Sus scrofa: one gene and its partners. The protein of the gene in region 4 interacts with the protein of the main gene of each other region in a pairwise test. Links are inferred from orthologs where the notes say so. Each region holds a gene or a part of one and is shown on either strand. Other genes may lie near its edges. The genes, in order: PATL1, TFAP4, PQBP1, GOLGA2, PRPF31, MAGOH and SCNM1.

Evidence for each region.
Region 1: the proteins of GOLGA2 (region 4) and PATL1 interact in binary tests that used the Homo sapiens proteins (3 or more experiments, as listed by UniProt). The two-hybrid records come from large-scale screens. The link is inferred for Sus scrofa from reciprocal best matches to the Homo sapiens genes GOLGA2 and PATL1.
Region 2: the proteins of GOLGA2 (region 4) and TFAP4 interact in binary tests that used the Homo sapiens proteins (3 or more experiments, as listed by UniProt). The two-hybrid records come from large-scale screens. The link is inferred for Sus scrofa from reciprocal best matches to the Homo sapiens genes GOLGA2 and TFAP4.
Region 3: the proteins of GOLGA2 (region 4) and PQBP1 interact in binary tests that used the Homo sapiens proteins (3 or more experiments, as listed by UniProt). The two-hybrid records come from large-scale screens. The link is inferred for Sus scrofa from reciprocal best matches to the Homo sapiens genes GOLGA2 and PQBP1.
Region 5: the proteins of GOLGA2 (region 4) and PRPF31 interact in binary tests that used the Homo sapiens proteins (3 or more experiments, as listed by UniProt). The two-hybrid records come from large-scale screens. The link is inferred for Sus scrofa from reciprocal best matches to the Homo sapiens genes GOLGA2 and PRPF31.
Region 6: the proteins of GOLGA2 (region 4) and MAGOH interact in binary tests that used the Homo sapiens proteins (3 or more experiments, as listed by UniProt). The two-hybrid records come from large-scale screens. The link is inferred for Sus scrofa from reciprocal best matches to the Homo sapiens genes GOLGA2 and MAGOH.
Region 7: the proteins of GOLGA2 (region 4) and SCNM1 interact in binary tests that used the Homo sapiens proteins (3 or more experiments, as listed by UniProt). The link is inferred for Sus scrofa from reciprocal best matches to the Homo sapiens genes GOLGA2 and SCNM1.

Annotation. Positions count from the first base shown.
Region 1 is NC_010444.4:11,841,564-11,845,134, reverse strand, and holds part of PATL1 (protein PAT1 homolog 1), read right to left. Parts: intron 2,367-3,571; coding exon 2,186-2,366; intron 1,065-2,185; coding exon 941-1,064; intron 1-940. UniProt on the Homo sapiens protein: RNA-binding protein involved in deadenylation-dependent decapping of mRNAs, leading to the degradation of mRNAs. Acts as a scaffold protein that connects deadenylation and decapping machinery.
Region 2 is NC_010445.4:38,046,490-38,050,547, reverse strand, and holds the start of TFAP4 (transcription factor AP-4), read right to left. Parts: upstream 2,853-4,058; 5' UTR 2,631-2,852; coding exon 2,266-2,630; coding exon of another isoform or gene 2,207-2,265; intron 1,697-2,206; exon of another isoform or gene 1-1,696.
Region 3 is NC_010461.5:42,975,395-42,979,467, reverse strand, and holds the start of PQBP1 (polyglutamine-binding protein 1), read right to left. Parts: upstream 2,823-4,073; 5' UTR 2,804-2,822; coding exon 2,737-2,803; intron 1-2,736. Other genes in the region: TIMM17B (mitochondrial import inner membrane translocase subunit Tim17-B), read left to right, coding at 3,423-3,595. UniProt on the Homo sapiens protein: Intrinsically disordered protein that acts as a scaffold, and which is involved in different processes, such as pre-mRNA splicing, transcription regulation, innate immunity and neuron development.
Region 4 is NC_010443.5:268,710,134-268,713,704, forward strand, and holds part of GOLGA2 (golgin subfamily A member 2), read right to left. Parts: intron 3,217-3,571; coding exon 3,157-3,216; intron 2,963-3,156; coding exon 2,882-2,962; intron 2,081-2,881; coding exon 2,042-2,080; intron 1,801-2,041; coding exon 1,738-1,800; intron 1,649-1,737; coding exon 1,555-1,648; intron 1,455-1,554; coding exon 1,348-1,454; intron 52-1,347; coding exon 1-51. UniProt on the Homo sapiens protein: Peripheral membrane component of the cis-Golgi stack that acts as a membrane skeleton that maintains the structure of the Golgi apparatus, and as a vesicle thether that facilitates vesicle fusion to the Golgi membrane.
Region 5 is NC_010448.4:56,004,979-56,008,549, forward strand, and holds part of PRPF31 (U4/U6 small nuclear ribonucleoprotein Prp31), read right to left. Parts: intron 3,254-3,571; 5' UTR 3,239-3,253; coding exon 3,062-3,238; intron 2,972-3,061; coding exon 2,911-2,971; intron 425-2,910; coding exon 341-424; intron 1-340. UniProt on the Homo sapiens protein: Involved in pre-mRNA splicing as component of the spliceosome. Required for the assembly of the U4/U5/U6 tri-snRNP complex, one of the building blocks of the spliceosome.
Region 6 is NC_010448.4:158,986,868-158,990,996, reverse strand, and holds the start of MAGOH (protein mago nashi homolog), read right to left. Parts: upstream 2,826-4,129; 5' UTR 2,329-2,825; coding exon 2,241-2,328; intron 1-2,240. UniProt on the Homo sapiens protein: Required for pre-mRNA splicing as component of the spliceosome. Plays a redundant role with MAGOHB as core component of the exon junction complex (EJC) and in the nonsense-mediated decay (NMD) pathway.
Region 7 is NC_010446.5:98,079,529-98,083,844, forward strand, and holds SCNM1 (sodium channel modifier 1), read right to left. Parts: upstream 2,847-4,316; 5' UTR 2,728-2,846; coding exon 2,677-2,727; intron 2,410-2,676; coding exon 2,339-2,409; intron 2,099-2,338; coding exon 2,010-2,098; intron 1,913-2,009; coding exon 1,815-1,912; intron 1,707-1,814; coding exon 1,618-1,706; intron 954-1,617; coding exon 759-953; intron 511-758; coding exon 411-510; 3' UTR 316-410; downstream 1-315. Other genes in the region: LYSMD1 (lysM and putative peptidoglycan-binding domain-containing protein 1), read left to right, coding at 3,619-3,798. UniProt on the Homo sapiens protein: As a component of the minor spliceosome, involved in the splicing of U12-type introns in pre-mRNAs. Plays a role in the regulation of primary cilia length and Hedgehog signaling.

The DNA of each region.
Region 1 (3,571 bases), on a different chromosome or scaffold from region 4:
ATCCATGAGGATGTGGGTTCAATCCCTGGCCTTGCTCAGTGGGTTAAGGATCTGGTGTTGCCATGAGCTGTGGCATAGGTTACAGACAAGGCTCAGACCTGTCGTTGCATTGCTGTGGTTGTGGCGTAGGCTGGCAGATGACCCTTGGCCCAGAAACTTCCATGTGCCGCAGGCACGTCCCTACAAAGACAAAAGAAAGAAAACATGACAAAAATCCTAAGTACGTCCCCCTTATCTATTTTACAAATACTAGAAATTATCACAGGTTTAAAAGTCATGGACTCTGGGAGATCCCCCCACGGTGCAGTGGGCTTGTCTCTATGGAAGTGCTGTTCGAGCCCCTGGCCAGCGCAGGAGGTTAAAGATCCAGCGTTGCCATAGCTGTGGTATAGGTCACAGATGCATCTTGGATTAGATCCCTGGCCCAGGAACTTCCATATGCCACCCATGCACGCAGCAAAAAAAAAAAAAGAAAGAAAAGAAAAAGTCTTGGACTCTTAGTAAAGGATCTGAAAGGCCATCTGTCAAACCATTCATTTCATGCTTGATTAACACTGACCCCTGCATTTGCCAAGGACAACGGTACTAAGTCAATCAGTTTCAAACATCTCTATCTAATCATCTATACAGTTATTTACAGTTGTCTGTCCACACCCATGCCACAGCAGTGACTTGGGCCCCTGCAGTGACAATGCTGGATCCTTAACCTACTGTGCCACAAGGGAACTCTCTTTTTTTGCGTTGCACCTGGGGTATGTGGAAGTTCCTGGGCCAGGGATCAAATGTGTGCCACGGTTGTGACCTATGCTTCTGCTACGGCAAAGCTGGATCATTACGAACCCTCTGCTCCACAGAGGAACTTCCTACACAATTATTTTTATTTTATCCTACCAGCACCATGTCACATTTTTCAATTTTGGGCATGAGGATGGGACCTTACCTGGCTTATAGGCATGCTCCAGCTTGGCCACCTGAGGAGTAATGAGCTTGGTGCGCTCCTTTTTAGGGCCATCACCTTGCACTTCTTCAGCAGCTGAGAGTTTCTCCAGTTTTTCAAAGTAATTCTACCACATGAGAATATGATTTTAGTTGCAACAAGCACAGAATATGGCTGCTCTTTATCACTAAATAATTAATTTATACTAGTGGCAGCACCACCACCTTGTACTCTATAAATGTACTGATCTTTTGTTTTTGTTAGATTGCAATGAATTTACTTTATTAAAAAATCTGGAGTTCCCGTCATGGCTCAGTGGTTAATGAATCCGACTAGGAACCATGAGGTTGCGGGTTCGATTCCTGGCCTTGCTCGGTGGGTTAAGGATCCAGTGTTGCTGTGAGCTGTGGTGTAGGTTGCAGACGTGGATCGGATCCTGCATTGCTGTGGCTCTGGCGTAGGCTGGTGGCTACAGCTCCGATTCAACCCCTAGCCTGGGAACCTCCATATGCCGCGGGAGCGGCCCAAGAAATAGCAACAATAACAATAACAACAACAACAACAACAACAAAAAAAAGACAAAAGATAAAAAATCTGAGCTTTCAAAATAATCATCAATGGAAATATCTTTAAAGTCAGACTGTCAATATTCTTTTTTTTTTGTCTTTTTGTTGTTGTTGTTGTTGTTGCTATTTCTTGGGCTGCTCCCACGGCATATGGAGGTTCCCAGGCTAGGGGTCGAATCGGAGCTGTAGCCACCGGCCTACGCCAGAGGCACAGCAATGAGGGATCTGAGCCGCATCTGCAACCTACACCACAGCTCACGGCAACGCCGGATCGTTAACCCACTGAGCAAGGGCAGGGACCGAACCCGCAACCTCATGGTTCCTAGTCGGATTCGTTAACCACTGCGCCACGACGGGAATCCTTTTTTTTTTTTTTTTTTTTTTTTCTGTCAATATTCTTAATCGAAGGAACCAGATTGCTGATGCCAAAGAGATCTGAAAATACTGGTCTGAGAGCCTCTACATGGAAGAAGCAAAAGGGGTGTATGCAAACATTTTAGTGAATAGTGTGAGTCTCCAGTTTGAAAAGAGGACAGAATTTGCTCAGTCACTTCTTACCTACTTGAAGACTACCTCAAAAAAAAAAAATCCTATCAATATTAATTCTATCAATATTAAAATGAGTGCCTTCACCAGCGCAAGAGACTAAACTGTTATCCTCAAAACTGGCAAGAGAATTTACCTGGTAATAAAAATCATCCAGGTAGGGGTCAGTGCTTTGCAGCTGCATCATCTGGATTTTGGAGACCCAATCCTTCTCTCGCTGTAACATGAGATTGGCATATGGATCCTTTCGGAGGTGATCTTGATGACTGCTCCGGTGACTTCCTCTATCTCCTGCACCATTGAGACTGCGATGCTGACTGAAAAAGAAATACATGCCACATTCACTCCAAGTGGATACATGAATTATGCCTTATAACACAAACCAGGCCAGTTAAAAAAAAGATTTCCCTTACTTCTGTTAAAAGAGAAGTGGAAAAGAGAAATTCCTGCTATGGTACAGTGGGTTAAAAATCTGACTGTAGGAGTTCCCGTAGTGGCGCAGTGGTTTACGGATCCAACTAGGAACCATGAGGCTGCGGGTTCAGTCCCTGCCCTTGCTCAGTGGGTTAACGATCCGGCGTTGCTGTGAGCTGTGGTGTAGGCTGCAGACACGGCTTGGATCCCGCGTTGCTGTGGCTCTGGTGTAGGCTAGCGGCTACAGCTCCGATTCAACCCCTAGCCTGGGAACCTCCATGTGCCTCGGGAGCAGCCCAAAGAAAATAGCAAAAAGACAAAAAAAAAAAAAAAAAAAAAAAAAAACTGACTGTAATGGCTCCAGCTGCTGAGGAGGCCTGGGTTCTATCCCTAGCCTGGCAGAGTGGGTTAAAGAATCTTGTGTTGGATCTCATTGTGGCTCAGCAGTAATGGACCTGACTAGTATCTATGAAGTTGTGGGTTTGATCCCTGGCCCTGCTCAGTGGGTTAAGAATCTGGTGTGGCTGTGGCATGGGCCAGCAGCTGAAGTTCTGATTCGACCCCTAGCCTGGGAATTTTCATGTCGTGGGTGCAGCCCTGAAAAGCCAAAACAAAGGAACAAACAAAAAACCTTACTGAAAATCATGACAGACTTCAAACATATAAAAGATCAGCAAACACTATTATTAAAAGCATCTATTTACTCACCATTTAGACTTAATAAAAAAATTTTACTTGATCAAATTTGTTTCAGATTTTTAAAAAGTAGTATTAGCAGTACAGTGTTACGTTGAAGGCCCGTCTATACCACGCTGGATCCTGGTTTCCAGCTCCCCTTCCTTCTTATAGGAACCACTATCCTGATTTTGGTATGCATCCAAAATGTTTTTATGCTTTTATTGTATCTCTACTTTTAAATATTATACAGTATTATTCTATTTTATATAAATGGTACTAGAGACACAATTCTGCTCCTTGCTTCTTACTCAACATTATGTTTTTCATATTTAACCATGTTGACAATATACTCAGGTATATACTGAAAAGTAGAACTGCTAGGATGAACTACAGCCATATTATCAACCTTGTTATTTATTGCTACACTCTC
Region 2 (4,058 bases), on a different chromosome or scaffold from region 4:
CTGTACTGTACAGTCCTCGCTGGCAGGTCTGGGCGACAGAGGCATGGAGCCCTGCTGGTCACCGAGGGATGGAGCAAAGTCCACCTGCCTGAGAAGCCAGTATATCCGGCCAGAAGGTCCCACCCAACTCACACCCGATCCGTGACAAGCTTCCTACCTCACCCAGCAGCTCCCAGAAAATGAACAAACCCAGAGGCCCCAGCCCCACACCCAACGCATGGGCTGACAACAATCTCACAGCTGGGCAGGCCCAACTCTGGAGACCCCTATGGGTCTGCTGGACTCCTCCAAGGGGGGCATGGAACAGAAACAGAGCCAAGCCAGAGTTCTAGGGGGCCCAGGGAGGACACGGCCAAGGCCCAGACCAGGCAGCCTATGGTCCTCTGGTGCCAAGCCTGCCTGGGATCAGTCTCCGCATGTCCTCTGCAGCATTTGAGGCAGCTCAACCCATCTCCTCATTGGCCAACCCTCCTCTGAGCAACCAGCAGCTCTGGGACCAAGGTTCAAGTTCCAGCCCCAGCACCTGCCTTATCTCTTCCTTTCCAGACCTGTGTCCTCATCCCGCACAGGAAGCCATAAAGCCACTTCACTCGGGGGAAGATGCTAAGGACTCAGAAAAATCTCCCCAAAGGAGTCTCTACAGCATATTAATAGCTCCCGAATTTTTTCTTCTTTTCCCTTATTACAGCTAAGCTCTCCAGCTGGACCTTGGAGAAGGGCCAACACTCAGAGCCCCTCTGCTGAGCGTAGTTAAGGTGGGAGCCCTGGGACGGGGGCGGCGGTGTGCAGCAACCTTCCCGCAGACAGGTTTTGACGGGCCCTGGTGTCCACCAGCCTGGGCCACACCGCCCTGAGCTCCTCCTCTCTCAATCCCCGCCTTGCCCGCCCCGGGGCGGCAGAGCACGTGGCTCCAGCCCTGGGGAGCCATTTCGCTACTAGAGCAGGAAAGGGGGCCACAGGTCCCAAAGTTGGACACGCAGAGAACACCCCCATGCAGCGCCGCCATCCTGCCGGTTGTGTTCAACCTGCAGATGTTCGGGCCCTTCTAGAGATCGGAATTGCGGGCATGTGAATTTTAACAAGTGTCCGCTAACCCATCACTCTCCGGGGAAGGGGAGATCCAGAGGATCCCGGGCAAAACTTAGAAGGTGGCTCCTGAGGAGGGCGACGGACCTCGGACCACCCACCCAACTGGGTAGCGGGCTGGGCAACCAGATGCTTTCGGTTTATGGCTGGGGGAGGGGCGTGAGACAGGAAAGTTTGCAGTGGGGACCCACGTGCTGCAGGCAGCGGCTTGGTGAGGCTAAAAGCGGACTCTGCTGCCCCCTCTCCGGAGAGCCCCCCGACCGGACCTGCCTCCAACAGCCCGCCCGCGGGGTCCAAGCTTTGTGCGGGGAAAGCGTGGCCCTGGCGCGCCTACAACTCCCACAATGCCGTAGGGACGCGGAGCCCAGAACTACAGCTCCCGCCTGGCGGCGCGCGGAGGTCCGCCTACTCCAAGAGGGCTGCAGAGTCACGTCCAGGCCTCGCTAGTAAACAGCGCCCGGGCGCGGGCGGCGAGCGAGCTGGCGGCCGCCAACGTGCCAGGGTCCACAGCGCTCCCGGCGGGCGGCGCCGGCCCCTCGGGTTCCGCACCCCCCTCACACCCTCGAACTCCAGCACGCCCCCAGACCCCGCTGCAGCCCAGCTCCCTGCAAACACTCACACCACCGGCTCCCCGCCCCCCCGCGCCCAGAGCCGCGGCGTGGCTGCATTGTAGCCGCCAGCGCCGCGGCCCCACGCGCGCCCCAGGCCCCCCCCAGAACCCCTTGGAGGGGGGCGCCCAGAGAGAGTGATGAAGGAGGGAGAGGAAGGAAGCCACCGCGGGAGGGGGGAGGAGGAAGCGCGGGGGGGAAAGCCACCAGCACCAAGCATGGCCGGGACTGCTGCAGAACCACGTGGGTCTGTTTGCAATTTACAAACGTCGCGACTCGCCCGCCTGCAGCGGACAAAAGTGACCGGGGCCGTTCGGGGCCCCCACGTTCCGAGAGAGGAGGGTCCCTGGGAGGCCCGAGCCCGGCGCGCGGGACTGCAGCCGCCCCGGCGGCTAAGAAAGGCGAGAGGGTCCGCGGCGCGGGCCATGCGTGCGCACACGCGCGCCCGCCGGAGCGGGCTGGCCAGGGGCTGCAATCATAGGAAGAGGGTGAGGGGGAGGAGGAGTACACACCTACAGAGCCCTCCTATCACTTCTTTCTCTGTTTTCCTGAAATGTTGCAAAGAGGGCACCTTCTGAGTGGGCACCATGAAATACTCCATAGCGATCGGCCCCCCTCCTCTGCACGAGCCAGGTCCCGCGGTCCGCCGGAGAATGCAAGATGGAAATCCGAATCAAAGGGCAGCGCCGGACGGAGGTGCAGAATCGGCCGGTCCCAGATGCTGGCTGCGGCGGCGGCGAGGGGAGGGAGGCGGGCGGGAGGGGCGGGAGGGAGGTCTCTCCGGCCTGCCTCCCCGGGCGTGTGTATGTGCGTGTGTGTGTGTGTGTGTGTGTGTGTGTGTGTTTGCAGCTGATCAGATGTCTGTTTCAAGGCGGGAAACAGCTGGTGAAAACTCAGCACTCCCCCGGCCTCCTTCCGCGGAGTAAGGAATTGCATGTAAACAAAGGACTATTTGCAGCGCCCCCAGGGCGGCGCGAGGCTGGGGCAAGAGGGGCGCTGGCCCCCAGGGCCGAGTGGCGGTCGGGGTCTGAGGGCCTTACCCCCCAGCTGGGGGTGCGGGGGCCGCCGGTCCTCCTGGGGGACGCAGCGTGAATGGAGCGAGCTGCGGCCGAGCTACATGCGCCACTATGGGTGATGAGGTCCATCAGCTGACAGGTTGGCAAGCGTAGCAAAAAAAAAAAAAAAAAAAAAAAAAAAAAGACCAGCCACTGCGAGGGAGCCCAGCCTGTACGCCTGGGGTCCGGCGGGGACCGCCGGGTGCAGACCCTGCGCGCTTGGCCGCCCTCGGGGTGCGGGGGCTCGCAGCTGGGCCCGGCAAAGGCGAAGGTGGCCTGCGGTGCTGCTCTGGGCTTTTTTCACGGTTGCAACTGCACGGAGAGGAGCCGCTCTGGCGCGCTCCCTCCGAGCCCAGGGCCCCCTGGAAACTTGCGTCACAGCTACCGCTTCCCACATGTAACTTGGGGCCGACTTCAGAGGCCGGCCAGCCCCCTCCCTCACTCCCTCCCTGCCCAGCTGCCCGCTGCTGGCCGTCTGGCCTGGGCTCCGGAGCTTGGGAATCCCGGAGCCAAGGAAGGGAGGGCAAAGGGGGGCGCGCCGGGCGCCTGGGATCCTGGGGCTGCCTTAGGAAGCAGGGGCCCTGGCGGGGAGGGAAGGGAGGCGGGCCAGGACGGCAGCGGCCCCGGAGGCAGGCTGCCAGCGCGGCCGGGAGGTCCGGTGGCTGCTGCGGGGTCTCCACCTCTCACCCCTCTGCGGGGAGGCTGGACGGCCCGAGCCTCGCCCCAGCTTGGCCGCGGTAGGCGGAAGGCTGCAGCTTCCCATTCGTGGCGAAGCCCGTGCGGGACCTGCTCCTCCGCCAGGGTGCGCTCTCTACTAGGGGTGAAGGCCTGGGGGTGGGGAACACCGTGGCGGCTGGCTTCCGCCCCCCCCTCCTTCCTGCGTCCCCTCCCCAGGCTCCTGGAGGTTGGCCCCTGGCTCAGGAAGACCGCGCCTGCCTTGGAATGTCCTCCCTCCTGCCCACCGCCTTCCTCAAACCTATTCGCCTTCCAGGTTCCGCCCAAATCGCGCCTTCTAATTGAAATACTCCTACTCAAGACAAGGATTTCTGGTTTTAGTAGGAACCGTTATTGTTCTTAGATATTCCGAGTATCTTGCAGATGCCTAGCCCTTTTACGGGTATAGTTTCCAATCCTTCAAAGTCAGCTGCTGGGCTGTTTCTGTAAGTACAGATCCTGGACCATGTAACACCACAGTCCCCGGGGGGCTTCCCTGTGTGGACAGGAAGGATGGCATGTGGGGACAACATAGGATACAGAGCCACCCAACTGTATGCCCTGATCACTGTCCACAGTGCCTGAGTGAATGAAT
Region 3 (4,073 bases), on a different chromosome or scaffold from region 4:
TAGGTCACAGACATGCCTCGGATCTGGCGTTGCTGTGGCTGTGGCGTAGGCCGGCAGCTGTAGCTCTGATTCGACCCCTAGCCTGGGAACCTCCACACGCCGCGGGTACGGCCCTAAAAAGCAAAAAAAACAAAAAAGTGTATCCGGAGTTCCTGTTGTGGCGCAAGGAAATGAATCCAACTAGGAACCATGAGGTTGCAGGTTCGATCCCTGGCCTCGCTCAGTGGTTAAGGAGCTGGCATTGCCCTGAGCTGTGTGTGGTGTAGGTCCCAGATGCCACTTGGATCTGGCGTTGCTGTGGCTGTGGTGTAGGCTGGCAGCTGTAGCTCTGATTAGACCCCTAGCCTGGGAACCCCCATATGCTTCAGGTGTGGCCCTAAAAAAAATAAAAATTAAATAAAAAACGTGTATCCATGTTTGTTTAGTTCCTGTGTTCAGACAGTATGTGACACCCTGCTATCCAAATCTTTTTTTTTTTTTTTTTTTTTTTTGGTCTTTTTGCTATTTCTTGGGCCGCTCCCGCGGCATATGGAGGTTCCCAGGCTAGGGGTCCAATCAGAGCCATAGCTAGCCACCGGCCTACGCCAGAGCCACAGCAACGCGGGATCCGAGCCGCGTCTGCAACCTACACCACAGCTCACGGCAACGCCGGATCGTTAACCCACTGAGCAAGGGCAGGGACGGAACCCGCAACCTCATGGTTCCTAGTCGGATTCGTTAACCACTGCGCCATGACGGGAACTCCCCAAATCTATTTTTATGTATCGTTTTGTCTTTTTAAGGCCACACCTGTGGCATGTGGAGGTTCCCAGGCTAGGGGTCAAATTGGAGCTGTAGTTGCCACTCCAGGCCACAGCCACAGCGACACAGGATCCAAGCCCCACCTGAGACCTACACTGAAGCTCATGGCAATGCCAGATCCTTAACCCACTGAGTGAGGCCAGGGGTTGAACCCGCGTCCTCATAGATACTAACTAGGTTTGTTAACTACTGAGCCATGACGGAAACTCCCCGCTATCCAAACCTATTTGGACAAAATTAGTTTGAACAGCAAAGGTTTTATCTAAAAACGTCCAAATTCATTCAGTTCTCCAGCTTGGCAAATAGGGAGTTTCTGATTCTAGTATATTGAGTAGCAAGTTTGGAGAGCAAGGCATTTATCCAAACACTGCTCTGAATATATTCAGCTCCTGAGACCTGCAACTGTTTTCAGTTACTATCAACAGAATAAAAAAGGTGTATGAGTGGGGGTTCCCATTGTGGCTCAGCAATAACGAACCCGACTAGCATCCACGAGGACGAAGGTTTGATCCCTGGCCCTGCTCAGTGGGTTAAGAATCTGGCACTGCTGTGAGCTGTGGTGTAAGTCACAGATGCAGCTCGGATCTGGCATTGCTGTGGCTGTGGCATAGGCCAGCGGCTACAGATCTGATTCGACCCCTAGCCCGGGAACTTTCATATGCCGTGGGTGTGGCCATAAAAAGACCAAACATTTTAAAAAAGGTACATGAGTACCTGGACCTCAGTTGGCCGATCACAGGTTTCAACTGTGTATACAGCTAACAATGAAATGTCTATTTCAGCAATAACATAGTGCCTGTCACACAATAGGTCCAAAATAGATCATCAGCTATAATCATTAGTGTTGTTAGTAAGAAACGTACCACGGGCACAAGGCCCGGTATTCAGTAAGCTTAAAATAAATATCAATGACCATTATCCGTATTATTAACCAAAGATCTATGCTTGGCACACAACAAACCTGTAATAGATGTCACCTGTCAATAAAGTGAAAATGAGTTTTCCAGTACACGGCCACACCTTAGCCCAAAATAGATGCCAACTTTTACTGTAATGACAGTAAGGTATAAATACTGGCAACGGCAGCACAGCAGGCCAAAATGACAGATCCTATCATTATCCTTGTTTTGTTTTTTGTTTTTTTGCCTTTTCTTGGGCCGCTCCCGCGGCATATGGAAGTTCCCAGGCTAAGGGTCCAATCGGAGCTGAGCTGCCAGCCTACGCCAGAGCCACAGCAACGCCAGATCCGAGCCGCGTCTGCGACCTACACCACAGCTCACGGCAACGCTGGATCCTTAATCCACTGAGCAAGGCCAGGGATCGAACCCGCAACCTCATGGTTCCTAGTCGGACTCGTTAACCACTGCGCCACGACAGGAACTCCCCTACCATTATTTTACATACTGTAAACCATAATGCATATGCCAGCCACTTAAGCAGACCCGAAATACATGTCAGTTATTGAACTGGTGAACAAGTCGGTATATATCGCCTGAACAGTACCTGGCTCTACAGTAGATCTGAAAAAAATGTTACCTACTAGTATGGTAAAGAACAAAATATCAGCCTCCTCCCACTGTATTTGGTCCAAAAGAGGCTGTAATAGATGTCAGTTTACTATTAATATCCTTAGATACTCTTCCAGGGATCGATTGGATTAAATCTGGCGTATGAAGATCCAAGATAAGCATCAGCTGTCAGTATTAGGTACGACTAAAGCTGAAATGTCTATTCCCTGCCCCACCCCCACCGTAGGCGTCCGCGCGCACGCGGTAGGAATCGGCGTCAGGAATACGTATTGTTTACAACAAAATGTCTGCCAGCCCACTGCTTGGTATATAGTAGGCCCATACTAGGGATCGAGTGGCAATATCAACAACAAAGTGCCTGTCAAGCCTGGCACATGGTAGGCCCATCTGCTCTTAGCTCTCTCACCGGGCTCGAGATGTTTGAGGATGCCTCTCTTGGCCAAGCGGGTCTGCAACGCAACGGGCAGCGGCATAGCGGGTAGCAGACAGACCTAGGGAAGGACAGACGAGAAAGCAGTTCAGATAAGGATTTGAATCTGGAGCTCGTAAGCAAGCGCCTCTCCCCAACATGCACTCATCTAGACTCCCACCTACCCACCTGCACCAGGAGCTGGGCAACAGAACCTACCCGCTAAAAGGTGGAAGGGATAAACGGCAGTATCACCGAAATTCTCGCCAACTCTCCTCTCCAGGCGGGGTGCTCCGGGACAGGACTCCTCTCCCAGGCCTCCTCTCCCAGGCCTAGGCTCCACCCATCGCCGAAGGGGCCAAGCGCCGCTCCCCCGCGCCCCAGAAATGGGCTCACCCAACGTCCCCCAAAGACTGCCGGGTGGAAGGAACCAAGGAGCAGGGGTGGGGGGAGCAGGGTTTCCTCTAGCTCCAAAAAATGCGCCCACCCCGACATTACCAATACAGTCACGCGGGTTGCGGAAGGCTGTCAGACTGTCGGCCTCTCTCTCGACGCCTTTATGATCGCCAGGACCACGACTCTTTTTCTCCTGAGGGAAAGAATGAGGCCCTCTCTCCCTGAGCCAGAGGTAACTGGGCGACGCTCGGGCTGCAGAGAACAGATGACGGAAACCTAACTGGCCAATGAGAGTGCGCCTTGGCCTGACGTCTGGCGAAAGGACCCAATCATTACCTTGGAATAGGTGGAAAGCTCGGGCGCCTGTGTGCGTTTACAGTGGGGGTGTGGCCCGGCCGGGATTTAGCCAGACTGCGCGGCCGGACGCCGGCGCCATGGAGGAGTACGCTCGGGAGCCTTGGTACGGCGAGGGGCACAGGCCTCGGGACTCTTGCTGCGGCGCCACGGCCAGCGGTGGGAGGCGGGCGGGGGAGGCGCTGGCTACACAGCGCCACGTCCCAGACTCGGGAGACTTTTAAACGTTTGTTGTCTCCTTCCGCTCCCGTCCACTTGTTTCCTTACTTGGGCTCCGTTAAGAGGGGCCACAACTGTGTGCTTGAAGGAGCTGGTGCGGTGCAGGACGAACCACTCCACGTTTCCCTTGACTCTTGTCCCCGGTCCCTCTTGTTAACGGAAAGAGACACGTTGGTCGAATCCATTCCAGCCGGGGGGTGGTGTGTTGCTAGGCGGAAATCCCCAGGGTTACCGCGCGTGGTTTTTCCCAGGTCCCTTTGGTGAATGGAGGCGGGGCTTGGGTGAGCCCACTGTGGGCAAGGAGGGGGTGTCGGATCGTCCCCACGGTCTGCAGCTAGGTTTTTCCTCCCTCGTGCAAGGTGAAG
Region 4 (3,571 bases):
GTATAATTCCAGCTTGAGGGTGTCTCGCTCTTTGGTTAATTCCTTGTTGTACTGCAAAGGCGGAAGGCTGAGGTCAGGAAAACAGACTAACGGCAGCAACAGTAACTCTCAGCAACGTGTCCTCACCTGGTGTCACACTTTACATGTTTCCAAAGCCCTTCCCAAGTTCACGTTCGCATTCAGTTTTAACAGGAACTCGGGAAGAGTGGAAGAGGTGGGTGGAGGGTCTAACTCCCGGCTGGCTGGCTCCCAGGCCCGGGGCCGGCAGGTAATACCACCAGCTCTATCACCGTTACCGTCACCAGGTCTGAACCTTTTCCAGCACTTTCCCCTTTCAGCCTCATAATCACCGTGGGAGGCGGTTACTATTACTGCCTCCATCATACAGGTGCCCAGCACGGAGTAGCAGAGAGCAAGTGGCTCCCCCAAAATCACCCAGAGCTGGGACCAAGCTTCCAGGTCTGTTGGATTCCTTTGTTCCTTTTTAGGGCCACACTCGTGGCATGTGGAAGTTCCCAGGCTAGGGTCAAATTAGAGTTGCAGCTGCCAGCCTACGCCACAGCCACAGCCAGGTCCGAGCCGCATCTGCAACCTACGCTGCAGCTTGCAGCAATGCCGGATCCTTAACCCACTGAGCGAGGCCAGGGATCGAACCCACATCCTTATGGATACCAGTTGGGTCCTTAACCCGCTGAACCACAACGGGACCTCCCAGGTCTGTCTGATTCTTTAACCACGTTTTCTCCCTGGGGTGGGGGGGTGCATTATGAGGGGGATTGAACTGTATTGTGAGCTTGTGTTCATGGTTTGAGTGGATGGTACCTCTGCAGAGCCCCAAACTCAGAAGGTTCAGAAGTGACAAGTCTCTCAGCCACCCTGTTCCTCCCCACCAGGTTGCTGTGAATCCCTCCCCACATGTCTGAATACATCACACACGCGTGCGTCTCCCCTCTTTAGTTTGGCAACGTACTAAAAATACCGTCATGGACCTTCACAGTCCAAATACCTAGCATGGGGGCCAGGGCCCACAGCCAGGCAAGGGCAGGGCTGGCACTCGGACTCTGAGCTCTGCATCCAGGGCTCACACTAGACAGCACCTCCACTGTGACTGCACTTGCGTGCACGCCCACACACACACACACACACACACACCACACACACACGGGCAACTGGCCCATGGCAACCAACTCATGCCTGGGTTGCTTCTATCAAGCACACGAGTTTAGAGCAGCGGGAAGTGGCCAGTGCCGCCTTCTGGGCAGCAAGTCACCCCATCCTGTGGAAGGGACCTCTGGGCTCACTCGCCCTCCACTACACGTCCGGGGAGGGCTAGGCTGCCGGGCTCACCCTATCGGCCTGCTTCTGCTGCGTGGACACGGCAGACAGCGTCCGCTCCAGCTCGCCCACGCGCTGCCTGGAAGACTGCAGGCGACTAGCCAGATTCTCCGACTCTCCTGAAAGGACGGCGTGAGAGGTGAAGCCCGAGGAAGGACTCCCGCTCCAGGCCGGCCAGCGTGCCCGGCCCAGGGGGTCACAGGGCACCCAGGTTCCCACCTGCTTTTTGCCGGGCTGCCTGCTGGGTGTGAGCCAGGGCGGTCTGCAGTTCCGTCTTCTCAGACACTAGAATCCCGATGGTCTGGATGTGGACCTGTGGGACAAAGGCCGAAAGGGGGGCTTGAGAAGCAGCAAAGTCACGTTTCCCGGAGGCCGCGAGGGAACCCGGCAGGATCCACTCACCTGCAGTTGTTCTCTCAGAGCCCCTTGTTCCTTCGCAAGCTTCTGCTCAAATTCCTTTTTTTCCTGCGGGAAGAGAGGAGAAACAGCTCTCACCTGGAGGAGGTGCCCCCCAGAAAGCCACCACTGGCCCAGGACAGTCTCACCAATGAGAACATATAATCGGGGGTGAGGGAGGGGTGGCGAGGGCCAGGGAGCCCCCCATTTCTCCGGGCTGCGATCAGGCGCGAGGAGAACGGGCCTCTACGTCTCAACCCTCCCCCGAAGCCACCAGCCGTGAGGGGGACAGACACAGAAATCACGTTACTTTTTCCAGTTGATCCAGAGTTTCCTGGTTCTCTTGTTTCTGTGGGGAAGAAGCAAAGGGAGGAGACTGAGGTCGGCCCCCTTTCCCACAATCCTCAGACCAAGGAGGAGGGCTGAGCAGGGGCCGGGGGTGGGCTTCAAAGGAGGAGCTGCTGGGGACACGAAGGGGCCATCGCTTCTCAGCCAAGAGACTCTGGGTCTTGGGAGGTGGGGCTCACAGCTACAGAAGCCAAGGGTCTGAACCTGATTCCCTTGCGAGGACAAGGACATAAGCCTCTCGAGCTGGAGTGTGAGAAGGGAGCGACCACATCCTCCGCCAGCTCGCAGTCTGGGAGGCTGCATCCGCTCAACACGCACATACCACGGGCTGGGGTGTTCTTACCAGCAAGGATATAGGAATGAGAAGGACCTTCAAATCTTTGATTTTTTTTTTTCTTTTTTTTCCAGCTCAAAGGGACCTTGGACGCCCTCTAATTCTACCTCCTAAAGCCCAGGGAGGACAGGTGACTTGTCCAAGGTCAAAGTTGGAGCGAATCAGGGGCTGAAGCCGGGGCTGGGACACCCTTGTCAAGCTAGTGTTACCCACAGAGGCACCAGGCCCAGGGCAAGGGGGGGGAGGACTCAGCAGGGGCGTCTGGAGAACAGAGGAGGCAAAGAGGGCAGCCACAGAGAGAGCCATGCTGCATGCCGCACTCCCGGGTCCCTCTCACTGCAACCTGGGCCCCCGGCACCCCATTCTCCCTCGGTACCAGGGGCCCCCAGCCCCTTTCTTCGGAGCCCCAAGGTGGAACTGGAGCCCCAGATTGGCAGCGTGGAATCGGGGACAACACTGGACTCTTACCAATTCCTCTATCTTGCTACTGAGTTGTTTGTTTGTTAGATTGCTGGAGTCCAGGGCTAGTGATAGTTCGTGGTACCGGCTCTGAGGCGCATGCAGAGAGGAGGAGGAGTTGGAGGAGGGTGGGGGGAGAGGTAGAGAGAGCAATCATTAGGGTCGGGGGGTGTCTGAGCTGTCTCAGCTGGCAGTGGGGAACCTAGCCCCCGCTGTGGGAGGAGGGGGGGGGCGGGAGGTGGCTGACCTGCAGGGTCACGGGGCCACGGTCCAGGCCCACTTACCTCCAGCTTCTTTATGTTAGCAGGAGATGCTAGGCCCTCCCCATTGATATAAGGTGAAGACTAGAAGAGATGAGAGGGCTCACATGGAGACGTTCTCCGTCCCCCTCGAGGCCTAAGCCCTCCGACATCCTGTCTTGCCCATCGACTGGCAGCATTTCCTTTTCTGCCTAAGCTGGTCCCCTTCCCCCTGCTCAAGCCCTCTGTGCCAGCTTCTCTGTGTCCCTCCCTCCCAAGCAGCTCCCATCAGCAGGACAGAACGGTGGAACCAGTCTCATGGTCCAACCCCTTCATCTGTACAGCTACAAAGAGGAGACTCAGGGAAGTAATGATTAGCTAAACATCGTCCAGCCAAGCTGGCCGCTCCCAGGACCTTCCCTCCGCCTTGGGAATCTCTGCCTCGGTTCCTTTCTGCCAC
Region 5 (3,571 bases), on a different chromosome or scaffold from region 4:
GCCACATGTGCAACTTCCAGCCACTCCCGCAAAGAGAGCGAGCCCTCCCTTCCTGCTCTGCTGGCGGGGATGGGAGGCGACAGCAGGAGGCGGACAGTCACCTGGTGCCAGGAAATAGGCAGCAGATCAACCAGACAGAGAGAGCCTGGCCTCCACCCAGCCTTCACATGAGAGGAAGATGCGCGTCCCTCCCGCGTGACCAGTGTTACAGCAGCTGAACCTGGGTTCGAGGTCATGGGAGCAGGGCCCTGGGATCCCACGTACCCCTCCCTTGGGGACAGGAAGGGGCCATGGGGGACACGGCGTGGGGCTGGCTCTGCTTGCCCTTCCCGGCACTCACTCAGCTCGTTCTCGATTTCCACTGTCAGGTTGTTGGCGTCCACGATGACCGGGTACTCGGGGGCCGCCTCCACCGGTCCCATCACTGTGAGGACGGGAAAGAGCCCAGGACAGCTAAGTGTCTGAGCCCCCACCTCCCTGCCGGGTCCCACAGCCGGGAGATTGGGGGTGGGGCTGGAGGGCAGCAGGAGGAGCGGGTGAGGGCAGAAACAAGGGGACAGGTTTGTGTGGCTGTGAACCTCTCATCTCTCCCCCCAGGCCAGTCTAGACGGGACCCTATCTCGCCCTAGAACAAAACCCCGGGAGCTCCCACACCCCTGAGGCGAACGGCCAAGCTCCCCAGCCAGAGGTGCAAGGCCTCCCGAGACTGGAAGCTCTGAGAGGACAAGCGCTGTGCTGTTGCCCCCGGCCGCACCCCGCGCCCGGCCACACTGGAGCTGCTCCACGGGCACCTGCCACCTCACTCCGGTCTGGGCTCTGCACCCTACCCGCCGCCTCCTCTCCTCACACCCTGGACTCTTCCAGCCCAGCCATTAAGGACAGACTACAGTGCCTGGACCACTCAGGGCTGCTTCCCTCTCCTCCAGGCCTTTGCACATGTTGTCCCTCCTGCCTGGTACAGCCCCTCCTCGCATCTGTCTGTAGAACACTACCCAAGCCTTAACAATTCCAACGATGGTGCTGGTGGGCTTATCGGGGCAGGAGGGGCGGCAGTTGACACAAGACTTACAGAGACTTGCAATGTGGGTGACAAGGCTCTAAGCATCTTCTAGGCATTGACTGAGCCACAGCCACCCAGGGAGGGTGGTGCTAAATTAGAGGAGACACAGCAGGACAGAGCCAGCAGATGGCAGAGCTCGGGTCTGACCCCAGAGTCCACGTTCTTGACCCTGGCGCTCAAAGGCCTCTGTGCCCTGAGACTCAGAAGGCACCCGAGGAGGGTCAGATGTCCCTGTGCTCCCACCACACCCAGAAGTCACGAGCCACCCGGTTTCGAGATGCTTCATGTCGCTGAGTGTGGGATCGGATCTGACCGAATCCAGGAAATGATGCTCCACGGCTCTCTGGACGGAGAAGCCCCCCGCCAGGCACTCCAACCCCGCAGCGTCTGGTGCTTCTTCGGCCTCTCAACCACCAGGGATGCCCGAGGTTTTGCACGAGCAGCTCTTTCCCTGGGCTCCCGTCCCTGTTTTTGGCCTGACCTGCGTACTCATGCTTCAAAGCCCAGTTCGGACACCAGGTCCTCCCTGACTGAGGCGGCTCCCAAGTGTCCTGAGTGCCCCTCATCCCAGCAGGCACCTTGTGCCGGTAGCTGTCAGCTCCTGTGCATTTGGAGGGCTGAGCCCACCCAGGCCCCAAGCTAAAGGAGGGAGGCAACGAGTGCAAATCGCCCTGAGACTCTGCTCTGACCCAGTGCGCCCGCGCCCAAAACCTCCCTTGGTTTCCACTGGAGCCCCGGCTTGACGGGAAACAGGACTGTCCTCAGAGCTGAACCCGCAGGAGTCGACCCCGTCTGCCCCGAGCGGAAGCGAGGAGAGATTTTACATGATGCTCTAATAGTTTTTAGGGCTACTTTTCTGCATTTTCGTGGGCACTTTCTATTTACCAGAAGATACCAGCTGTCCATCCACAGCAGTGCTGTCCCCCCCTCTCAGGTAAACTTAAAGAAAAAAGTATGTTGACAGAGTTCCCATCATAAGCGCAGTGGAAACGAATCTGACTAGGAACCATGAGGTTGTGGGTTCGATCTCTGGTCTTTCTCAGTGGGTGAAGGATCCAGCATTGCCGTGAGCTGTGGTGTAGGTCGCAGATGCGGCTCAGATCCTGCATCGCTGTGGCTCTGGTGTAGGCTGGTGACTGTAGCTCCGATTGGACCCCTAGCCTGGGAACCTCCATATGCCACGGGTGGGGCCCTAAAAAAAAAAAAAAAGAAAAAAGAAAAAAGTATGCTGACTTAAAAAAATTTAAAAAATAGGAGTTCCCGTCGTGGCGCAGTGGTTAACGAATCCGACTAGGAACCATGAGGTTGCGGGTTCGATCCCTGCCCTTGCTTAGTGGGTTAACGATCCGGCGTTGCCGTGAGCTGTGGTGTAGGTTGCAGACGCGGCTCAGATCCTGCGTTGCTGTGGCTCTGGCAAAGGCCAGTGGCTACAGCTCCGATTGGACCCCTAGCCTGGGAACCTCCATACGCCGTGGGAGCGGCCCAAAGAAAATAGCAAAAAGACAAAAAAAAAAAAAAAAAAAAAAAAAAAATTAAAAAATAACAAAGTAAATAATGAGAGATGTAGTAAAACCTTGTAACTGAGCCTATGAGTCCATAAAGTCTGGGAAGCCTTGAGCTAAATCCTATTGCAATTCGTCAGCGCTCAGCACAGAGCAGGTACTGAAGAAGCGTCACCTGCCTTTATAATGCGACGCACTCCTGGGAGGGAAGGGGTCCGTCTGGAAGAGGGCTCTGGCAGCGGGTGAGAGAGAGCCAACGAGCAGCAAAAGGGCTGAGGGGCCTGGCTGGAGAAGAGTGTGTGTGGGGGGGTGCTGGAGAAGAGCGGGGAGGGCTGTCGGGGGGGTTACCTTCCGCGGCATCGGCCTGCTTGCTGATGTACTCCTCGATCTTCAGCATGATCTCAGCAAACTGCTCAGGGAGGAGGAAGGTCAGAAGCCAGGACTTGCCGGGAAGCAGCTACTGGCCGTGTCACCCCGCCCTCCCGGGAGCTCCTCTCACCATCTTGCTGTCCCACAGCTTGGCGATGCTCTTGACCGAGTCCCCGGAGAGATCCAGCTGTGTCTCCTCCTGCACATCCTCGATTGCCGGCTCCTCCTCCTCCTCCCCATAGCTTCCCCCTTCCTCCTCCTCTGCCGCCTCCTCAAGGTCAGCCAGGAGCTCGTCCGCCAGCGACATGCCAAGGCCTGTGGGCTGGGAGAGCACGGTTCCCCCTCATCACGGAGAGGGCCTCCCCCGCCAGAAGGCCCAGGTCCTTGACGGGCCCCGCTGGCCGGCAAGCTCCGCAAGAACGGGGACATTCACTTGCTTTGTTCTCCAGCTCCTAACTGCGCCTGGCATACAGCAGGTGCCCAGGAAATACCTCCCAGACCCAGAGGGTCTCCGGTCTCAACTTCCTCTGCCCACCCTCCTCACCCTCACTTCACGAGCAGGACACTGCACAGCCTCACTCTGCCACCTCACTAGGACGAGAAATACTCCCTCCGCTTGGCGGGTGCGCCTCTCCACACA
Region 6 (4,129 bases), on a different chromosome or scaffold from region 4:
CAAATAAAACATAACTCTCAACTTTTGAGTTTTTTTTTTTTTCCATCAACACTATTAAATAGCCTCCCAGCAAAAAATACAGCTGATAATGAATTATAATTCTTGCCAAAGGCAGCTCAGTTGTGATTAAAGAACAGACTCTTTTGTGACAGGCAAATCACATCTCTGCAGATTAATGCCCTCAGCTGAAAAACAGGAGTAACCGATAACTTACCTACAGACAGGGCCCCCTGAGGCTCAAGAGTTGTGAAAGCATTCTGAAAACTGTTAAAATGCTTTTTACGTATATAAACAAGTGACTGTGCAACACTCTATAATCTATTCCTGTGATATTATTATGCATATTTGGTATAAAAAGTCATATGTGCATCCAACAGGTTCACCTGAGTATATATGGTGGATATGAAGAAGATAAAAGGAAATAAAGGAGATAATTTTTTCCCTACAGAACAGAAGGCACACTAAAAAGAGCCACACTAATTGACGCCTCACTGTACCGTCTCTCTGCCTCAAGTTCCTCTCCTTTCAATTCATTCTCCATACAGTGGACAAAGTGATAGTTAACAGATCTGATTAGGTTACTCTAACACTTTGATACCAACAATGACTTCCCACTGCCGTCTTGATAAAACCCAAATTCCTCAACATGGGTTACTGCTACGCTGAGCCCACTTCCAGGGCCACTCCTCCAAAAGTCCTCTTGCACATAGCTGGAGTTAATCAAATTACAGCTGACCCATAAACAACCTTGGGCATAGGGCACCCAGCCTCTCTGTAGTTGAACACTGGTATAACTCAGAGCCAGCCCTCTGCATCTGCAGTTCCTCTGTATCCACGGTTCCTCATCTTGGACTCAACCAACTGTGGATCATGTAGGTCTTTCCTACTGAAAAAAATTAAGTGGACCCATGCAATCAAACCCATGTTGTTCAAGGGTCAAATGTGTTTGGTTTCTGCCTGAAACACCCCATTCACTTTTTGGGTTTCGGTCTCTTCGCTGTTAATGCTTTCTGAAAATGCCTTCTTGACTCTCTGCCTAACTCCTTCACATTACTAAAGGCTCAAACCTCCACTTCCCCATGTCATCTTATTCAAGAAGTCTTCTCTGACCTCCAGGCTGGGTTAGGTGCCTTCCTTCTGCTCCAAGGGTCCTTTCTGTGTCTTTCTACCCCAGTAGCCACTACACTGTCTTGTCTTTGTTTGCTAACAAACCTATTTCCTTCACAACCGGGGCGTGTCAGTTCATTTTTGTGCCCCCATTTAGGATAAATTTTCTGTCATCTTTGATTCCTTTTCTTTCACTGTACTGGCGCCTCCCCAAATCTATCACTTGGCAAAGTCCTACTGGTTGTGCCATCAACAGTATGCCATCACTATCACTCTAGTCCCAACCAACATCCCTTCCGTCTTAACAATTCTGCCTCCTATTAAGTAGTTTTCATTCTTACCCATTCTGCACCTAATAACTACAAAACTTTTTCAAGAACATATTACATCTCTCCTCTGCTTAAAACTTTCAAATTGCTTCCTGCTGCACTTAGAACAAAAATCCCAACTCTACCACACCCTATAAAGACTATATGGTGTGACCCTTGCCTGTTTATCAGGCTACTTACTATTCTCTCCAGAGCTCACTACTCTTCAGCCACACTGGCCACCTGAAACATGTTTAGTTCATCCCTGCCTTATGGCCTTGATACTTGTTTCTCCCTCTGCCTAGAATGCTCTTCTACCTGAGAGTCACAAGGCTGGCTCCTTCTTGTCAATCAGAACTCAGTTCATATATCTGCTCTTCAGAGAGTTCGCCTATGGCCACCCTTTCTAAATGCAGTCCACCAGCAATTATACCATCACTTTGTTTTCTGACCACTCATCACTATCTGGAATCTTCTTTTTTTGTTGCTTTTTGTTTGTTTGTTGTTTACAGATCTCCCAGCACGGGAATCTAAGTTCCATGAGACGGGAAGTGTTCACTCTTGTATCCCAGATGGTGGAACAGAGCCTGGCACAAGGTAGGCGCTCAAGGAACGTTTACTGAATGAATCATTGTGGTCAGAAATGTCACTAAACAGAAGATTCTGAACACGAAAAGAACCAGTGGGGAAGACACAGTATCGTTCCTTCCAAATCGGCGCCTCACAGCCATCAGTCTCTTCCTCCTCCAGTTCCTCGCACACTCCTCCCACTCGCCCGTCCCCAGGCCTACACCTCGCTCCCGTCAGGCCGGACGCTTTTCTCACCGTCGGGTCGAAACTCAAACTCCAGGAATTCGTGGCCGAATTTGCCCTTGTGACCCACGTAGTAACGCAGATAGAAGTCACTTTCCATGGCTCGCAAAAGGTATCCGAGACCGAACTTTAAGAGCAAACCGCACCTCTGCCGTAGGCGCCCGACACTGACGTAGACAACGGCGCGCGGAAGTGACGCCAGACAACTCCGCCTCCGGGCGTAGAGCGACCCCTCCCGACCCGCGGGCCAAGTAGGCTCCGCCCCTCCTGGCGGAACGAAGCCCTTCCCCACGGAGGCGGGATTGGTGTAGCCCCGCCCCCTCAGCCGGGGAGGGAGGGAGGTTGAGGTTTGTAAGCCTGCGTCCTTCTGGGCCTGCGGTCCAAGGGGTTCTAGAGCTTGGTAGGAGGACGAACGTGGTCTGGAGTCCGCGTTTTAAGACCAAGGGCTTACACTCCAAGTCCTGCGTCCTCTGAACCTCCACCTTCCTTCAGGACACCTGTCTGTGTGAGTGGGACAAAGCCCTTTACTCTCTCTGGGCCAACAGTAAAATAGGGTTATAGGACCCAAAACTCATAGAACGCCCCGCACTACGCTGCATGTGTCTAACGTTGGCTCAACTGAACCCTGCTGTTTAAGGACCAGTTCAAGAAACCTTTCTCCGTGACGCTTTCCCTGAATCCACAGTGGAGCTTGCCATTTCCCTGTAACAAACTCGCCTGCACTTATCTCTTTCAAGCTTTTATTTCTTCCTTTGCTTTTCTACCTCTCTGGTCTTTAGAAGAGATGCTTTGAGTAGGAGTTAACTATTTAATCGCCCATTCCCCAGTCATCCAAAGGGTGGTGGTGAAATGACCTATATAGCATTCTAGAAAAACAACTCTGGCTTCAATATTGTAGACTGGATTGGAAAATGAGAAGATCAGAAGTATGAAATTCATAGGCAAAAGAGAACAAGACGTAGCTAGAGCGGTAGGGGGGAAACCAGGTGTATAGCATCCTGTAAGCCAAAATAAGAGTATTTCAAGAACGGAATGCCAACAGTGTTACATACTGCTTCCAGGTCAAGGAATATAAGGACTGAAAATATCTGCAAGGTTTATAATTAAGAAGGTCCTGGGTGACCTTGGTAAAAGCAGCCTCACTGGCATGGGAGTGAGAGGCAGAGTGGAAATACTGGGATACAGGTAGGCGAAATTTGTTGTGGAAACACAGATGGTTACCATATCTTATGAGTCAGGTCTGAGTCAGGGAGAATAGAGAAGGCTTCGGAAGTGGAATACTCAAGGACAAATAGGAATTAGCCAGAGGAGGCAGAGAAGGAAAATGTAGGCAGAGAACGCCACATGCGCATGAGCACTGCATGTGCGACACGTACTTTGGGGGGCACTAAAACATAAGTGTCAACTTTGGGCAGTTCCTTCACCCGTTTCCTCATCTCTAAAATTCAAACAATAATATTGATCCTCCACACCCCCCTCATTGAAGCATCACAATGAAACAGTACTTCCAGATTTTAAAAAATGAATTTAATCTCTAGAAAGAGTGCATTTATTTTACAAACGTCCACATTTGGTTTTTAGTTCATCAAGATGATGTAAGTCAACTAGTGAGATGCAGCACATCACCCTTTGCCTCTGGAAGAGAAACCAGACTCCAAAGGGGACCGAGTACAGAAGCTAACGGAACTTGGAAGGACAAGACAAAAAGCAGAAATGGTTAGGGGGACCCCACATTCTAACATGCCTGTTACATCAAATACAGTCAAATGTGGTCCTTGAGGGGTGCTGGGGTGGATACAAACAAGGAAAATTTTGTCTGGGTACAATGTGATGGAGTTTACAAACCAGTACTTTACCCCACATCAACAACAGCCTGAAGAGAACAAAATGCTATTTTAAAA
Region 7 (4,316 bases), on a different chromosome or scaffold from region 4:
GTCCCTTCTGCTCTCACAGGGTGGCTAAGCCCTGGCCCTGTTTCCAGACCTGTCCAGCTCCCACCCCCACCCCACCCAGTGCCTACCCAAAAACTTCATGTCATTTGAAGGAGGAAAAGACTCTGAGTGGAGGTGGGGAAGAAGTCAGACAACATGAAGGGCAAAGACCTCCTTCTGACAGACTTATTTTAGGGCACCGGGCTGCATGCAGCTGACGCTTGGCATGACTTTGGTAGAAGTGGGGGGAGGGGCTAGAAGTATGGGGAGCTGTGTACATTGCAGGGAAATATTGGCCAGGCTGAGAACGAACAGACCTGAAATCCTGAAATGAGACAAGGAACCAGACTCAAGGAAAGTCAGGCTCCCAGCGCCCACTATAGTTTATTTGTGAACTGAATGGGGAAAGAGTGTCAGTCCAAGGGGAGATCAGGGGGTTCCTCTTCATCAGAATCAAACTCAACATTCTCATCTTTTATCCATCGACCTTGTCCATCTGGGATCCATCCAGAACTGGAAATATCAGAACAAACAGAATCGATCAGGAAAGGAAATGTGTTAAGAATTTAGTAGCGGAGTTCCCTGGTAGCTCGGTAGTTTATAGATCTGCATTGTCACTGCTGTGGCACACTTCTGCATGCTGTGGGCATGGCCTCCCGCCCCCCCCAAAAGCTAGTAGGGATAAGTAATATTTGAGGTTTGAAAAAAGGAGAGCCAGAGAGAAAAGGGACAATCTGAGGAAAGTGATTCCGTACACTCACCTTCGAAGGGTGAGATAATGATCCAGAGCCCGTCTTCTTGTGGGGCTCATAGGTGCAGGGGATGAGACAGTGGCTGATTCCTTGGTTTGTGATGCAGCCGCAGGCTCAAGTTCCCTACTGATCCTCTCACTTTGGGATTCAACCTCTGGGGGTGAAAAAGCGGAACGAGAGACAGAGGGACGAGGGGCTTCTGGTCTGGGTAGAGAAGAATCAAAGTCTGTAAAAGCAGTAAAGGAAAGGACCAAATCTCCTGTAACTCCCAACCCCTTAAAGCAGTGCTTCCTAAACTGTATTCCTCAAGATATTAACAGGTGTTCTGCATAAAAAGGATTTTGGAATCAAATGAACTTAAGGAAAGCCTAAGTTAGTTTTTTCAGCTTTTTTTTTTTTAAGACTGTGTAGAACCCTGAAAATATACTGTTACTATTCTTTTTTTTGGTCTTTTTAGCGCTGCACTGTGGCATATGGAGGCTCCCAGGCTAGGGGTGAATGCAAGCTACAGCTGCCAGCCCTTACCACAGCCACAGTAACATGGGATCCGAGCTGTGTCTGCAACCTACACCACAGCTCACAGCAACACTGGATCCTTAACCCACCAAGCAAGGCCAGGGATCAAACCCTCATCTTCATGGATGCTGGTCGGGTTTGTTCACCGCTGAGCCATGATGGGAACTCGTAATATTACTATGCGTCAAACAGGATTACAAAATCCTATTTCCCAAACAAAATTCTTTTTTCCTGAAATTCAAGTTAGCATTTCCAGAACACTAGTATTCCTCAGAATCCAATTTGGAAAACAGTACTTTAGAGCGATCGATCTCCTGTTCCTCCCTACTTCTGGATTACCCACCCCACAGACCTGTTCTTTCGGCGGCAGCAACTGTTATAGTGAGGAGCTCTGTGCAGAGCACTCTGGGTAATAAGTCGAGTCTGGGTTAACAGAGGAGCCTGGCATGGAGATGGGAGACAAAGTCAGAACCTTCAGAGCTAGAAAGAATCCAGAGCCTTCAAGCCTAAGGTGTGCAGCCTGGAACACACCCTCCCCTCTCTGATTACCTCTGCTTTGGTCTCTTCTCTCCTCAATTCATTCTGTTGTCTTGGATTTGGCTCCAGGCCCTTTCCTGGGTGCTTCTTGCCATAGAAAAGCTGCAGGCCTCAGGAGAAAGGGAAAGAGAATTAAAAGGAGGGCACCCAGAGTGAATAAACCCTTTAAGGGTTTATTCTCTATGCTCTGTCTTCCCACAAACTTACTGGACAGATGTTTCTTGCCTGCACGGTGGGCAGTCAACATGGCCAGGGTGTCCAGTACCGGTCGGTGAGGACAGATGGCACAAGCAAAGCTAGAGAGGAGGAGAGAAGATAATTGGTTCCTGGGGAGTGGAGTCTCTGCCATAGGTTCCACCACAGCCTAGAACTCCTTTCCAAAGCCCAAATCCCAAGTCTCCCAGTCTCCACCACCAACATCCCTGTTACTCACTCCCCGCCAAAGATTCCTTGTTCTTTCCAATCTGCTTAATAACAAAAGTTTGTTGAGCCTCTAACCGCAGAACCCCCAGGCTTGATCCACTCCTAGTCCTCACCGTCCATCCCGTAGCATCAACGCCTCATCCTCTGGGATGTAACTCGCCAGCAGGTCCCCGACTCTCCGTTTCTGCAGGGAACAAGGGAAGAAATGAGGACGGGGTCAGCTGGATATGAGGGAGGAACAAAAAGGAAATGACAAGGACGAGGACTCAAAGGGAATAAAGGCCACAAGAAGGGTAGAGATCTGGGCTGAAGAAGGGGTGTCGGCCCAGTTCCAATCGTCTGGCTTCCTCCGCCCCCCTCCCCCGAGTTGTTGCCACAGCAACAAAACAGCTCCCTCACAGCCTTCAGACGGCAACTGAAGCTGCTCCAGATGCTCTCCTCTCGCGCTTACTTTGAGCACATTGAGTTGACTCCAATCGTCCCCTTCCCTCTTGAAAGACATCACGACTGTGAGAGCCCCAGAAATATAAGTTTTATCGCGCCGCGTTCGCCACTCCTTTCAGGCCACCGTAGCAAGAGTGGGACGTCTCCTTTCTTTCCTGTCTCTTTCCGGTTGGCCCCCTTACTTCCGGGATGCGCTTCCACGCATGCGCCGCGCGATCCCGAAAACCCGCCTCTAGCCCATAGAGGGGACTGCATTTCCTATGGTGCTCTGCGACCCCGCCGGCGCGGAGCCTTTTGGGAAATGAAGTCTTTTTTCAAAGAGCTTGCCGCCCTGCCCGATTCAGGCCCTTGCATCTTGGCAGATTAGAGGCGTTTGGAGAAAGAGGAACCTAGCTGTGGATCCCGAGTTTGAGAGTGTGACTGATTTGATGCGGAGCGTACCTTTGAGGATCTCTCAGGGGAAAGTGTGCTACAGATTCTCGCGGTCATCACGCCCTTCGCCTGAGGCCACAGCCCACCTGGAGTGGGCCTGATTAGTTCCCGACCCTAGCGACCAAGCCCGGGACGCGCGGAATCGGGGTTGGGGGCTGGGAGGTCTGGCGGACCGACCTGGGGGCAAACTCTGTAGTGTAGAGGAGGGTGTCTAGTGGTCAAAGGTCAGAGGTCAATGTCGCGAGTTGTGGGGGATCGAAAGTCGGAGGGGTACTAAGGAGAAACTCAGGTAGGGACTGAACAGTCAGGTTACAGGTTTGTGGGAAAAGGCCTTGGAAGGCGGGGAAGCCAGGAGTCAGAGGTCGCCTAGTGGGGGGAAGGCGGAGAGACTTAGGAGAGAACACAGAAAGGGAAAGGAATCCTCCAGATTTTCATTCCCAGACCCCGGGCCTGTCACTATCGGTCACTTGGCCGGGCCTCCCGCAGTTGCAACTCCAGTTGTCCGCAGGGTGAGGAGATGGCCTCTCCCTCTAGACAGGCCCCCCTCGGGGGGTCAGGACTGCTTCAAGGGAGCCGGGCTCGTTCTTATGGAAGCCTTGTGCAGTCTGCCTGCTCCCCGGTGAGGGAAAGACGCCTGGAGCATCAGTTGGCGCCCGGAGACACCCTGGCTGGACTAGCACTCAAATACGGGGTGACGGTGAGTCTTCCAGGATTGGGACGCAGACACTCAGAAAAGATTTATTCCTCATGAGGATATAGTGGCCCTCTGGGCAACTTCACCTGAAATTTTCCTAATTGTGTCTAAATTAGTTAATTGTGATAAATTAATTGACAAGGGTCCCATCTCGTGTTGCACTGTCTGGTTGAGACAAATCCTGTCTCAATATCCCGGTGGAGGTGAGCAGCTCTTATTTATTATACCAGTCACTATACTAAAGACTTTACATCCATTAGCGCATCTGATCGTCACATCCCTATCAAGCATACAATTATTATACCCTTTTTATAGGTGAAGAAACTGAGACTTAGATTGGTTAACCAATTTGACCAAGGTCAAATAACTAGTAAGTGCTGGAGTGAATATTCAAACAAATCTATCTTACTCCAAAGCCCATACCCTTTTGTTTTATTTTGTTTTGGCCAGGGATTGGCCAGGAAGTTCCTGGGCTAGGTATTGAACCCTCACCACAACAGAGACACAGCAGTGATGCCACC